Astyanax mexicanus: one gene and its partners. The protein of the gene in region 1 interacts with the protein of each later gene in a biochemical or structural test. Links are inferred from orthologs where the notes say so. Each region holds a gene or a part of one and is shown in the gene's direction. Other genes may lie near its edges. The genes, in order: pex5, D-aspartate oxidase-like and pex13.

Region 1 (3,757 bases):
CACCACAGCGATGCATCCAGGCATGTGTTCTCACTGTATCACTGTGTGAGAGTACTTACTAGTATGTATGTATCAGTGATGGTTTGGAGAGTCATGCCATCTGCTGGTGTTGATGCACTGTGTTATATCAAGTCTAAAGTCAGTGCAGGGTTTCCCTGGAAAATCTTACTGCACTAAATGGTTGCCTCTGCTGACAACTTTTATGGAGATGCAGATTTCATTGTCCAGCAGGACTTGGGCACACATCCCACTCTGCCAAAAGTACCAACTGGTCTTAATAAAAATATTAATAATAATATTCTTATTTTCTGACACACTGATTTTTGGGTTTTCATTGTCTGTAAGCCATAATCATCAACAATAAAAGAAATAAACGCTAAAATATATATAAATCACCCTGTGAGTTCCACATTTTTAACTGAATTACTGAAATAAAGTAACTTTTTTAAGTTATATATATATTTTTTAGATATGTTATTAAGTCAATTGTTTTTATTTTTTTAAGAGTGGCCCTAATAAGCTGTACACATACATAAATAAACAAGTTTGGTGAGAAAGAACTTGACTGGACTGCACAGAGTCCTTACCATAACCTTATAGAAAACACCTTTGGGATGAATTAGAGTGGAGTCAGGACTTAAAATCTGACAAGGAGGTTTATGTGTGTAAAGGCAGACGAGTGAACAATTTTGACAACACTGTGTATTATACATTATACAATATAATATCCTGAAAAGCTGAAACTTTCCCAACTTGATGATTCCCCTTTAAACTTTACCTCACTGTGATTATTTGGCTGGGGTTACTGTGTGAGAGAAAGAGAGAGAGACAGTGGACTTTGAATCCGTCCTTGAACACATGACGTCTGTAACTAGCTACTTTTTAAAGCACCTTTCCTAAAGAATAAACAGCTCGAATTTAACAGCTGAGAAGCTTTAAAGTGTTTGGAGTGCAGGGGTTAAGCAGTAAGTAAGAGTTTTAAAGCAGTAACTCGAGTTTTAAAGCGAAAATTTGCTTTGCTGCTTTGCTGTCTGTTCTCTGCTGTCATTTTAGGAATCTAACGTAAGCTACGCACCGTGCGCCTGCCGCGTGTAGGCAAGCGGGAGCCTCGAGCTGCGTAACTCGCGTTGGTGAATACCACTGTGGTGTCTGTTGATTCATGCAGAGCCTTCAGTTAGTGGCGCCTCAGGTGAATAAATAAAGATTTACACGGCGAGCTGAGCAGCGCAGGACGTGCCCAGCGGCTCGCCTGAGAGCCAGCCGCTTCTTAATCGCCTCTGCTTTGTAAGTAGCCCATAGGTGACCCTGGGTGCGTCATATTTTTGGGCAGGTTGCTAAGCTAGCTAACCCAGCGACTGCTGTAATAACGACGGCGTTAGTGGCTGGAGCGGCCGGTGCTGAGCTGTGGGCTGAGCGGTGAGTTTATTAGCTAGGTTAGCTAGATTAACTCGTTTAGCATTGTAGCTACACGTATATAAGAATAAACAGTGCTATTTAAAGCTATTTAACTTGCAGTTGTTAAAGGTTAACATGATTATTAGACAGCTAAGCGAGCTAAACAATGCGCTGCTGTCCTAATAGCTACGTGCCCTCAGTCTTGGAAGTGCCTCCTGTGGTTTATTAGGTTAGCTAGCCTTCACTGATGTGTAAGTTAACCAAGGTTAGCTTAGTTTAGCTTGCTAGCTAAATAGCCGTTACGTTACTAGCAATTAAAATGCTGGTGTATAATAAATATATTAATAAGAAGAGCATAGTTTTGAACAAAGTATTGTATTTGTTCGCATTGTTACCAGAGCTGAGTGTGGCATTATTTGTGTGTGATTGGTGAGAATTGTTCCGTTCCACCTTAAATGGTGCAGATAGATCCAGCAAAAGGATGGAGCTGCTGCACCATTTAAGGTGGAACGGAACAAGTCTCATAACAAACCTAAAACAGACAAATACATGTTTAGTAGGATGTTTACATCGGTGGTGAACCCAATAGTGTCTTTTTTTAACATCTTCTTTAAAAATATACTAAAATATCTTATTATTATTATTATTATTGTTGTTAGATTCCAAAGTGGGAATGCAGTTCCTACACAGACTGCGTGTGTGATTGTGGCTCAGCTCTATTGCTGTGGTTTAAAGCTGTGATATGATGGTTGCTAGGTGGTTGCTATGGCATTGTTGTTGGTTACCAAGGTTTTTAAGTGGTTGCTAATATGTTGCCGTGGATTTAATCAGTGATGGTTCATAAAGTGTGGCTGAGTAGTTTGTAGTTTGTTGCTATGGTATTTGTGTTGGTTGCTATGGTATGGCTATATGTGGGATGGCATGTTGAGCACTTTATTCATTCCTCTCTGGAAAATCTGTATGATGATTTTTACGAAAAACGTACATTGGATAGATTTGTGACTTCTGTAAACGTTAGGTTTATGTTTGGGGTTTAGTTTTTGTTCAGATGCTTTTTGTGCAAATAGTTTTGCATTTTTTCAAAAGCTATGTGCAAGCACAAAATTCCTGATTATGATGAATGATCCATCCATCCATCCAAGCAAGTTTATAGATGAATTTGTCATTTATTGAAGACAGTAATATAATTAGTATTAGTGATACAGGCTCTGATTAGAGCTGGGCAATATGATGATATTTTATACATTCATACATTTTCTTATCACTGATTACACATCACTGTACTAAGCAGTATTTGAATAGCACTTTTTAAAAATCTGAAACTTCTGATTCCTTTTGTCTGCATGTCAGAACATTGCAATACATACTGTTTATCATAAAAATAATTTAAATATTGTAATATGATATTTTTTTCTTTACCATATTACCTAGCTCTGTCACTGTGTGATGTACATCACAGAAGGTGCTTTTTATACTGGTAATATCGATATTTCAGTTATATCGTATGGACTGAAATTAAGAAACATATCATGACATAAGTTTTGGCTATATCGTCCTGACCTAGCTGTGATATTAAAATGTACTTTTTATTGCAGAGAGCTTAATTTGACATTAAATTGTCTTAAAATATAAAAAAATATATATTTTTACAATATTGCCCAGCCCTAAATTACACTTACTGCCCAGATAAAGAGCTTTTTCATTCTGTGTGTGTGCAAACATAGCCTATAAAAATGTTGAATAAATTATAGCTAGTTTAATATGTTCACATGACCTCGCTTTCCATGGATATTAAATGTACCACAGGTATCTTTCAGGGGCAACATCTTGGAGACCTTCATATTGAGCACCCACAACTTTTATAACGTGCCCAGCGGCTAATCGTTTTAGTCCTAATCAGCTTAGGCACCATATGTTGATGCCACTGGACAGATTAGGCCAGAGGGTCAGACAGTGATAACGAGAGGAAGGGTAGGGGTGAAGTTGAAGCTGATTCTAGAGATGATGATGATGATGATAAAGTTTTTTTTATTTATCAGCCTTGTTGATAACAGACAGGTAGATCCAGAAGCTCCAGTTTGGACTATAGTGTAATAATGTTTTTTAACTTTTAACACTCTGTTTTCCAGAACCTCCCGGGTGCTTGTCGGAGCCATCCTGACCCTGGGTTACCATGGCGATGCGGGAGCTAGTGGAGGCGGAATGTGGGGGAGCCAATCCCCTCATGAAGCTAACAAGTCACATGACTCAAGAGGGGGGAGCTTGGAGACACAGGTCAACGCCCACTGTGAGTTTATTGGTGTTCGGTTGTTTTGCTACTATTTGCAGGGTTGGCTGGCCGTCATATTCGTATCGATGCCCT
Region 2 (3,757 bases), on another chromosome or scaffold:
AGCTTTATATTAAATTTTTTTGTGCATTATGGATCGGTAGGCCATGTTGCCAGTTAATTTTAAAGTATAAAATCAGCTCGGGCCAGGCTAATTCCAGGTTTTCCTTAAAGTAGCAGACTAGTTCTCTTCAGATCATGTGTATTTGTTCTGGCCCAAGATTAAAAAGTCCTTCAAAATCACACTAGAACATCAGCTTTATATAAAATTTTTGTGTGCATTATGGATCGTTATTCCATGTTGCCAGTTCATTTTAAAGTATAAAATCAGCTCGGGCCAGGCTAATTCCAGGTTTTCCTTAAAGTAGCAGACTAGTTCTCTTCAGATCATGTGTATTTGTTCTGGCCCAAGATTAAAAAGTCCTTCAAAATCACACTAGAACATCAGCTTTACATAAAAAAAATTGTGCATTATGGCTCGTTATACCATGTTGCCAGTTCATTTTAAAGTATAAAATCAGCTCGGGCCAGGCTAATTCCAGGTTTTCCTTAAAGTAGAAGACTAGTACTCTTCAGATCATGTGTATTTGTTCTGGCCCAAGATTAAAAAGTCCTTCAAAATCACACTAGAACATCAGCCTTATATTAAATTTTTTTGTGCATTATGGATCGTTATTCCATGTTGCCAGTTCATTTTAAAGTATAAAATCAGCTCGGGCCAAGCTAATTCCAGGTTTTCCTTAAAGAAGAAGACTAGTACTCTTCAGATCATGTGTATTTGGTCTGGCCCAAGATGAAAAAGTCTTTCAAAATCACACTAGAACATCAGCTTTACATAAAAAAAATTGTGCATTATGGCTCGTTATACCATGTTGCCAGTTCATTTTAAAGTATAAAATCAGCTTGGGCCAGGCTAATTCCAGGTTTTCCTTAAAGTAGAAGACTAGTTCTCTTCAGATTATGTGTATTTGTTCTGGCCCAAGATTAAAAAGTCCTTCAAAATCACACTAGAACATCAGCTTTATATTCAATTTTTTGTGCATTATGGATCGGTAGGCCACGTTGCCAGTTAATTTTAAAGTATAAAATCAGCTCGGGCCAGGCTAATTCCAGGTTTTCCTTAAAGAAGAAGACTAGTACTCTTCAGATCATGTGTATTTGTTCTGGCCCAACATGAAAAAGTTCTTCAAAATCACACTTGAACATCTGCCTCATATTTTTTGAGCGCAATGGCTTTTAAAATATAATTTTATTAAATATATATTTAATTATTTATTGTAATATATAATTATAAATTCAGTAATTAAAATAAATATTTTACAATATACAAAATTACATTTAATACGATATTGTATATTTACATTGTTAATAAAGAGATGTACTGCTTTTCTTCATTCTATCTCCTTCAGTGTTGATCTGTGAGGTGTTTAATATAAACAGCGGGTGTTTGTGAACGCTCCCTTTAGTTCACGGTGGTTCAGTGAAGCGGCAGCTGCGAATATCAAACCAACTTCAGCCGGGGAATACGAGGCTGCGAATATCGAGCCAAACGAATCTGGAGCTGCGAATATCAAACCAACTTCAGCCTCGTGTGCGGCTCTAGGTCGGATCTGTTTGGGCAGAGAGCGGGTTCTGGAATCGCAGCTGTCAGTCCGTCCATTATCCTGCACACGAATAACGGGGTGAGAGCACAGCCTGCCTGCAGCACTTTCAGCACAGACATATGCCCAGTTTGGAGACTCCAGTATTTAGCAGAATTGACGTTAAACTGCAGTTTTAATAAAGGAATAGGGGGACGGGTTTGGTCGCTTGCTTTTAAAATGTTGCATTTTAATTGCAGTTTTTTTTTTTATATGCGCTATCCAGGACCTGAAATTGACATTGTGCTGACCTAAATATATTTAACTTTCAGGACCTTTCTTTTCGGATTAGAGACGTCTCAATAAATATCGCGAGATTTTGAGTAGCTGCGTGCAGAGCCATGGCTCTGGCTGCGTGTCGCCTTAGTTCACCAGGTTTATGAAAAGCCCAGAGCCATAGAGATGTGTAACCAACTTCGTATCTCCCGTTATATATACTGCGAACCGCTAGAGGGAGCCCACGAGGGAGACCAAAACGAATGGAAGTGTATGGAGCCAAACGGCTAAAAACACTGATTAAAAGTAGTAACTATCCACGTGTCCAAGATAACAATTTAAATTTTTTTAAGTAAACGTATACGTTTTGCTAAACAAGCAAAGTAAGCTTACATATATTTGTCAAATATTCTACAGTAAACAGGTTTTAGGCATTAAATGTGCTAGCATTACTGCTACTGTGCGCAGTTGGCCAGTTGATGCTAGAATTTCTGCAAGAGATCAGAGAGCACATTTAAAAAGCTTATTAATAGATTTTAAAAGCTTTAAAATTATGTATGTGGTGCCGAAACATTTAATATTGTAAGCAGATTTTGCTCATTTGCTCCTTATGAGTCCATTCATTTTGGAGTCACATTTGACCGGCCACTGGGGTCAAACAAACCTAGAAGAGATCCTCAAGTGGGTACTCTCACCGCTATTAGAGATTCTCTGCTTGTTGTAGCTGAGACTGGGTTGCTGGTTTCTTCTACGGTGAGCATTCAGCTGCTCTCATGTATGACAATACTTGAAGGTGTATCCTAGAGCTTAGCTTTTAAAACGCTGCTTCAGTGTAGGATGATATTTTGGTTTTGAAAAGAGGAGACTGGGGTCAAGTGTAACGGTTATCAGTTTTTTTTTCTCGAGTATCTGGTTTCCATCTTTGCATCTTGGTATGATCCAACTTACATTTACTTTACAATTATCCATTTTCAAATTTCTCCTCAAACGTTCATACTGTTTTAAAAATATTTTATTATATTTAAGAAGTCAAGTCGAACAGTTTCCACGTGCAGCCCACGCAAACTACCGATCTCTTATAAAAGAAACCAAACAGGAAATTGCTCTGATATTGTGGCATTAAACTGCATATATATGAGCTAGAATAACAGCTATGTATGGATGACACCTATATTACTATTAGGAGAAATTATAAATTGTAAGCACCGAAAACTGTCTTATTTATATGAAAGAAAATTATATTATATCAAAACAATTAATAAAAATAAAAAAAAGTCTGTTAGATTGTGTTACCAAAGCAAACATTAGCATGTTTTAAACTGTAGCTAAGTGTTTACGTGGAGAAGAGAGGGAGCCTGTTTACGGGAGAGATAGTTAATTACATACACTAAGCTCTATATTGCAAAAAGTACCCCATCTCTCCGGCATTGTGGTTGGTGATCTAAGGCCATGGAAACCCATTCCATGAAGCTCTACCTTCATTAACATAGCTGACAAATACGTGCAGAGCGTTGTGCGAATAAAACCTCCCAAATATAATAGTCACCAAAGACAAGGTATTTGTTCAGGCCCGTCCACAAGTCACTATATATACTTTAAATAAAACAGTAAAGTCTGCAGCGCTAAGCACATTTTTTTAAAGAGTAACTTATACAGCAGCTTACCTTTACTGTTGGGACAGTCTTGTGTTGTTTTGGTCCTTCTGTTGAAATTGAAAATAGTTCTGGGGTTTTGAAGACTAGTTTTAGAAGCGCTCACAGGTGTAAATACTTAAAATAAATACTGTAAATAAGGTAATATCTGTAATATCCAGGTAAAGTTACGAGGCTGGATGCAGCAGAAGTAGTTAGCATTTTAACTAACGTTAGTTGTAGTCGGGTTTTATTTTTCCGATGATAATTAATCCAAAGTAGAGTCTCTGGTATCCTCTCTCAGCTCGTCTGGATGCGCTATTTCACCAATTTA
Region 3 (3,757 bases), on another chromosome or scaffold:
ATACTACCTGTGAACCTTCAAATTTCTCAGTGCCTCATTTTCAAAGTCAGGGCCCTTAGAATTTTACAGATGAAGTGTCGAGATACTTTGAGCTTATTAACAGTGTAAAATAGTGATGGAGATAACCAGGGAGATGAATCACACAATAAAGAATTGTATTGGCTCAAGGCTGTTATCTTTATTAAGCACAGATAAAATATCATAAAGCTTTGACTCTTTGACTCAGATAAGTCAAACAGTTTTCAGTCTTCCCCATTAAAAATGGAATCAAAAGATGTCAAGCAACAAAGAGTGTTACACAATAGTTCCACCTAGTGATGAAAACAGGGGTATAATATTGTCTCCTATTGTCCTGTAGTGATGTATGTTAAAATAAGGCTAACACTGCCATCACTGCTTAAACTACTACTGCTAATAATTATAATAATACTAATAATACTACTACTACTACTACTACTAATAATAATAATAATAATACAATGAAACGAAGATATTATTAATATCTCGCAAGATATTATTAATGTTATTATTATTCCTAAATTTCCTTCGGGATAAATAAAGTATCTTTCTTTCTTTCCATCCATCCATCCATCCATCCATCCATTAGCACCTTTTTATAATAGAGACATAGTTGGTTTCCCAGACAGAGTAGAGGCCTAGTTGTGGACTACATATCTCTTTTAATGTGGACACTCCTTTCACACTGTTGCATAGTCTAGTACTATGCTTTATCCCTGTCCGTTAAACCAATCCATACACATGGACATATAGATAGTCAGAAAATTAGATCACAGTAGTATTCACAGAGGATAGCTCACTTATTACAACAGCAAACAGACAGCAGTGGAAGCAGCAACACCAGATTAAAAATAAAAATAAAGTACTAATTTACAGATAATAATAAAAAAAAACTAATTTGCTAAAAAAAAATAGTTAACTGTTATAGGTATCATAGTAGTAATAGTAGTAGCAGCAGTAGTAGTAAAATAGCATCTTTACAATGCATAATAATATTACATGCATCGATATCAATAACTAGCTAAATACAAAATAGAACATATTTTTAAAACATATGAAGAACAAGTTAAAAATAAAGAAATATAATAGTAGTAATAATAATAATAATAATAATAATAATAATAAAAATAGAAATAATGTATTTTTAAACTAATGCATTCTAAATAATAATTAAAAAATATATAAAATATATATTTACAGTAATAAAATGTCTTAAATGTCTTACATATATAAGCTTAAGCCTTCATTTATGCGGTTACCTTCAAGGGGGGTAAAATCAAGTTTTTATAGGAACAAGTACACGAATATTTACGGCGTTAGCGGAATAGAAATATGAGTTTATGCAGCCGTAATTACGGTAAAGTCCAGACGCATATGAAAGCAGTAGCGCAGCAGTGGGTGGATGTCGGTTGGTTACCTCTGAATAATGTCTCAGCCGCCTCCAAAACCCTGGGAGAGACGAATTCCCGGGGCGATGCCATCCCCAGTAAACTACCGGTCAGTAACACGGTTCTCTCCAAATCCTGCTTTTCTTTCAGAAAACAGAAAAAAAAAACAGGCGTATGTGTGAACTGGCCCTGTAGCAAGGTGACAGGCCCTGTGTTGTTGTGTGTTAGCTTGATTGCTACACTAAGCTAAGCTAAACTAACCGCGTTCTTACGCAACTGAAAGTTCAAAGCACGTCATATTTTAATCCCGATAATAAACGTCTGATATTATTTAATACACATCTAGTCCATCGACAGACCCTAACTGCGTGTCAGAGTGTCCAGACTCATGTTTTAACTATAACGTGTCTTGACTGGTTTGGTGACCTACAGCTGTCGGTGGAATAAACTTTATGACTAGTATTTAAGCTAACTTAACTAACCTAAGTTTTTGTTATATTTGAATCTCATTAACTGCTATCGCAATAGCAAAATGTCCGTCCGACATAGCATACATAACAAATATAAATCACATCTTATAGGTAGCGTCTTATTCGCCAATGTCTTATTCGGATTTTCCGGTCCACCTTAAAAAGTCGAAATACCAATGATTCGCCAGTAGAGAGCAGGATTGAGCCAAGCAAAACGAGTTTGGTATTTAGGGCATATACATTGAGAATACATTGCCTGTTCTGGGTATTTCTAGTTGCCCTAAATCCAGATTATCAAATAGTCTGTTGAATTTGAAAATAGAACTAGTATACTGTGAATAGTCTAAAGACCTACGGATATTACTGTTCCTTTTTTATTATGACCCTCTTAACTTAGCATTTGAGAAGATCAAAGGAGAAAAAATGGCCTGTTCTGCATGATTCCTGTTGCCCTAACTCCATATTTTCAAATAGTCTGTTGAATTTGACACCAAAGTATGAAAATAGAACTAGTATACTGTGAATATTCAATAGAAATACAAAAATTACTGTACCATTTTGTTATTATGACCCTCTGAACTTGGCATTTAAGATGATTAAAGGAGAATAAATAGCCTGTTCTGCATATTTCCAGTTGCCCTAACTCCAGATTATCAAATAGTCTGTTGAATTTGACATCAAATTCTGAAAATAGAACTAGTATACTGTGAAAAGCCCGAAGTACTAGAAATATTATTCTACCATTTTATTATAACTCTCTGAACTTAGCACTTACAATACAATATTGAAGTAGAATAAATGGCATGTTCTACATATTTCTAGTTGCTCTTACTCCACATTATCAGTCTGTTATTATGCATGCTTATTTCTCACCTCTATATAACAATATTTCATGCAAGTGTGTGCCATATTTAAATCCTTTCCTATTACAAAACTGGTAGTATTGTTTTTCTTTTACCATCTGAATATAGGAAATTTGTTATAATTGTACTGTTATTGAATCAAGGAATGATGCATCAAGTTTTGATAACTGAAGATTTTAGTATAAATTGCAATATATATCATTGTAATATTTATTTCTGACAACAACAAGTGGGACACAATCGTGGAGTGGAATGAAATTTACTGGATATTTAAAAAAAAAATTGACATAAATAACTGAAAAGTGGGGCAATATTATTCGGCCCCTTTACTTTCAGTGCAGCAAACTCCAAGACCAAGAAACAAACCAGACAGGTCCGAGATACTGTTGTGGACAGGTTTAAAGCAGGATTTAAATACAAAAAGAGTTCCCAAGCTTTAAACATATCAAGGAACACTGTGCAACTGATCATATTGAAATGGAAGGAGTATCAGACCACAGCAAATCCACCAAGACCCGGCCATCCCTCTAAACTTTCAGCTCAAACAAGGAGAAGACTGATCAGAGATGCAGCCAAGAGGCCCATGATCACTCTGGATGAACTGCAGAGATCTACAGCTGAGGTGGGAGACTCTGTCTGTAGGACAACAATCAGTTGTATACTGCATAAATCTGGCCTTTATGGAAGAGTAGCAAGAAGAAAGTAATTTCTCTAAGATATCCATAAAAAGTCTCATTTTAAAGTATGCCACAAGCCACCTCGGAGACACCAAACATGTGGAAGAAGGTGCTCAGTCAGATGAAACCAAAATTGAACCTTTTGGCCAAAATGCAACTTTAGCAGGGACATAGAAGATGGTTAAAATTGATGGGAAGATGGATGAAGCCAAATACAGGAGCATTCTGGAAGAAAACCTGTTGGAGTCTGCAAAAGACCTGAGACTCGGACAGAGATTTGTCTTCCAACAAGACAATGATCCAAAACATAAAACAAATTCTACAATGAAATGCTTCACACA

The links.
Region 2: the proteins of pex5 (region 1) and D-aspartate oxidase-like form a complex in vitro, tested with the Homo sapiens proteins (2 studies listed by BioGRID, with this or other methods). The link is inferred for Astyanax mexicanus from reciprocal best matches to the Homo sapiens genes PEX5 and DDO.
Region 3: the proteins of pex5 (region 1) and pex13 form a complex in vitro, tested with the Homo sapiens proteins (3 studies listed by BioGRID). The link is inferred for Astyanax mexicanus from reciprocal best matches to the Homo sapiens genes PEX5 and PEX13.

The regions. Positions count from the first base shown.
Region 1 is NC_064413.1:6,432,601-6,436,357, reverse strand, and holds the start of pex5 (peroxisomal biogenesis factor 5), read left to right. Parts: upstream 1-841; 5' UTR 842-965; intron 966-1,124; exon of another isoform or gene 1,125-1,416; intron 1,417-3,524; 5' UTR 3,525-3,568; coding exon 3,569-3,682; intron 3,683-3,757.
Region 2 is NC_064421.1:17,749,835-17,753,591, forward strand, and holds the start of D-aspartate oxidase-like, read left to right. Parts: upstream 1-1,429; 5' UTR 1,430-1,618; intron 1,619-2,469; exon of another isoform or gene 2,470-2,545; intron 2,546-2,703; exon of another isoform or gene 2,704-2,724; intron 2,725-3,757. UniProt on the Homo sapiens protein: Selectively catalyzes the oxidative deamination of acidic amino acids. Suppresses the level of D-aspartate in the brain, an amino acid that can act as an agonist for glutamate receptors. Protects the organism from the toxicity of D-amino acids.
Region 3 is NC_064421.1:35,743,106-35,746,862, reverse strand, and holds the start of pex13 (peroxisome biogenesis factor 13), read left to right. Parts: upstream 1-1,369; 5' UTR 1,370-1,444; coding exon 1,445-1,515; intron 1,516-3,757. UniProt on the Homo sapiens protein: Component of the PEX13-PEX14 docking complex, a translocon channel that specifically mediates the import of peroxisomal cargo proteins bound to PEX5 receptor.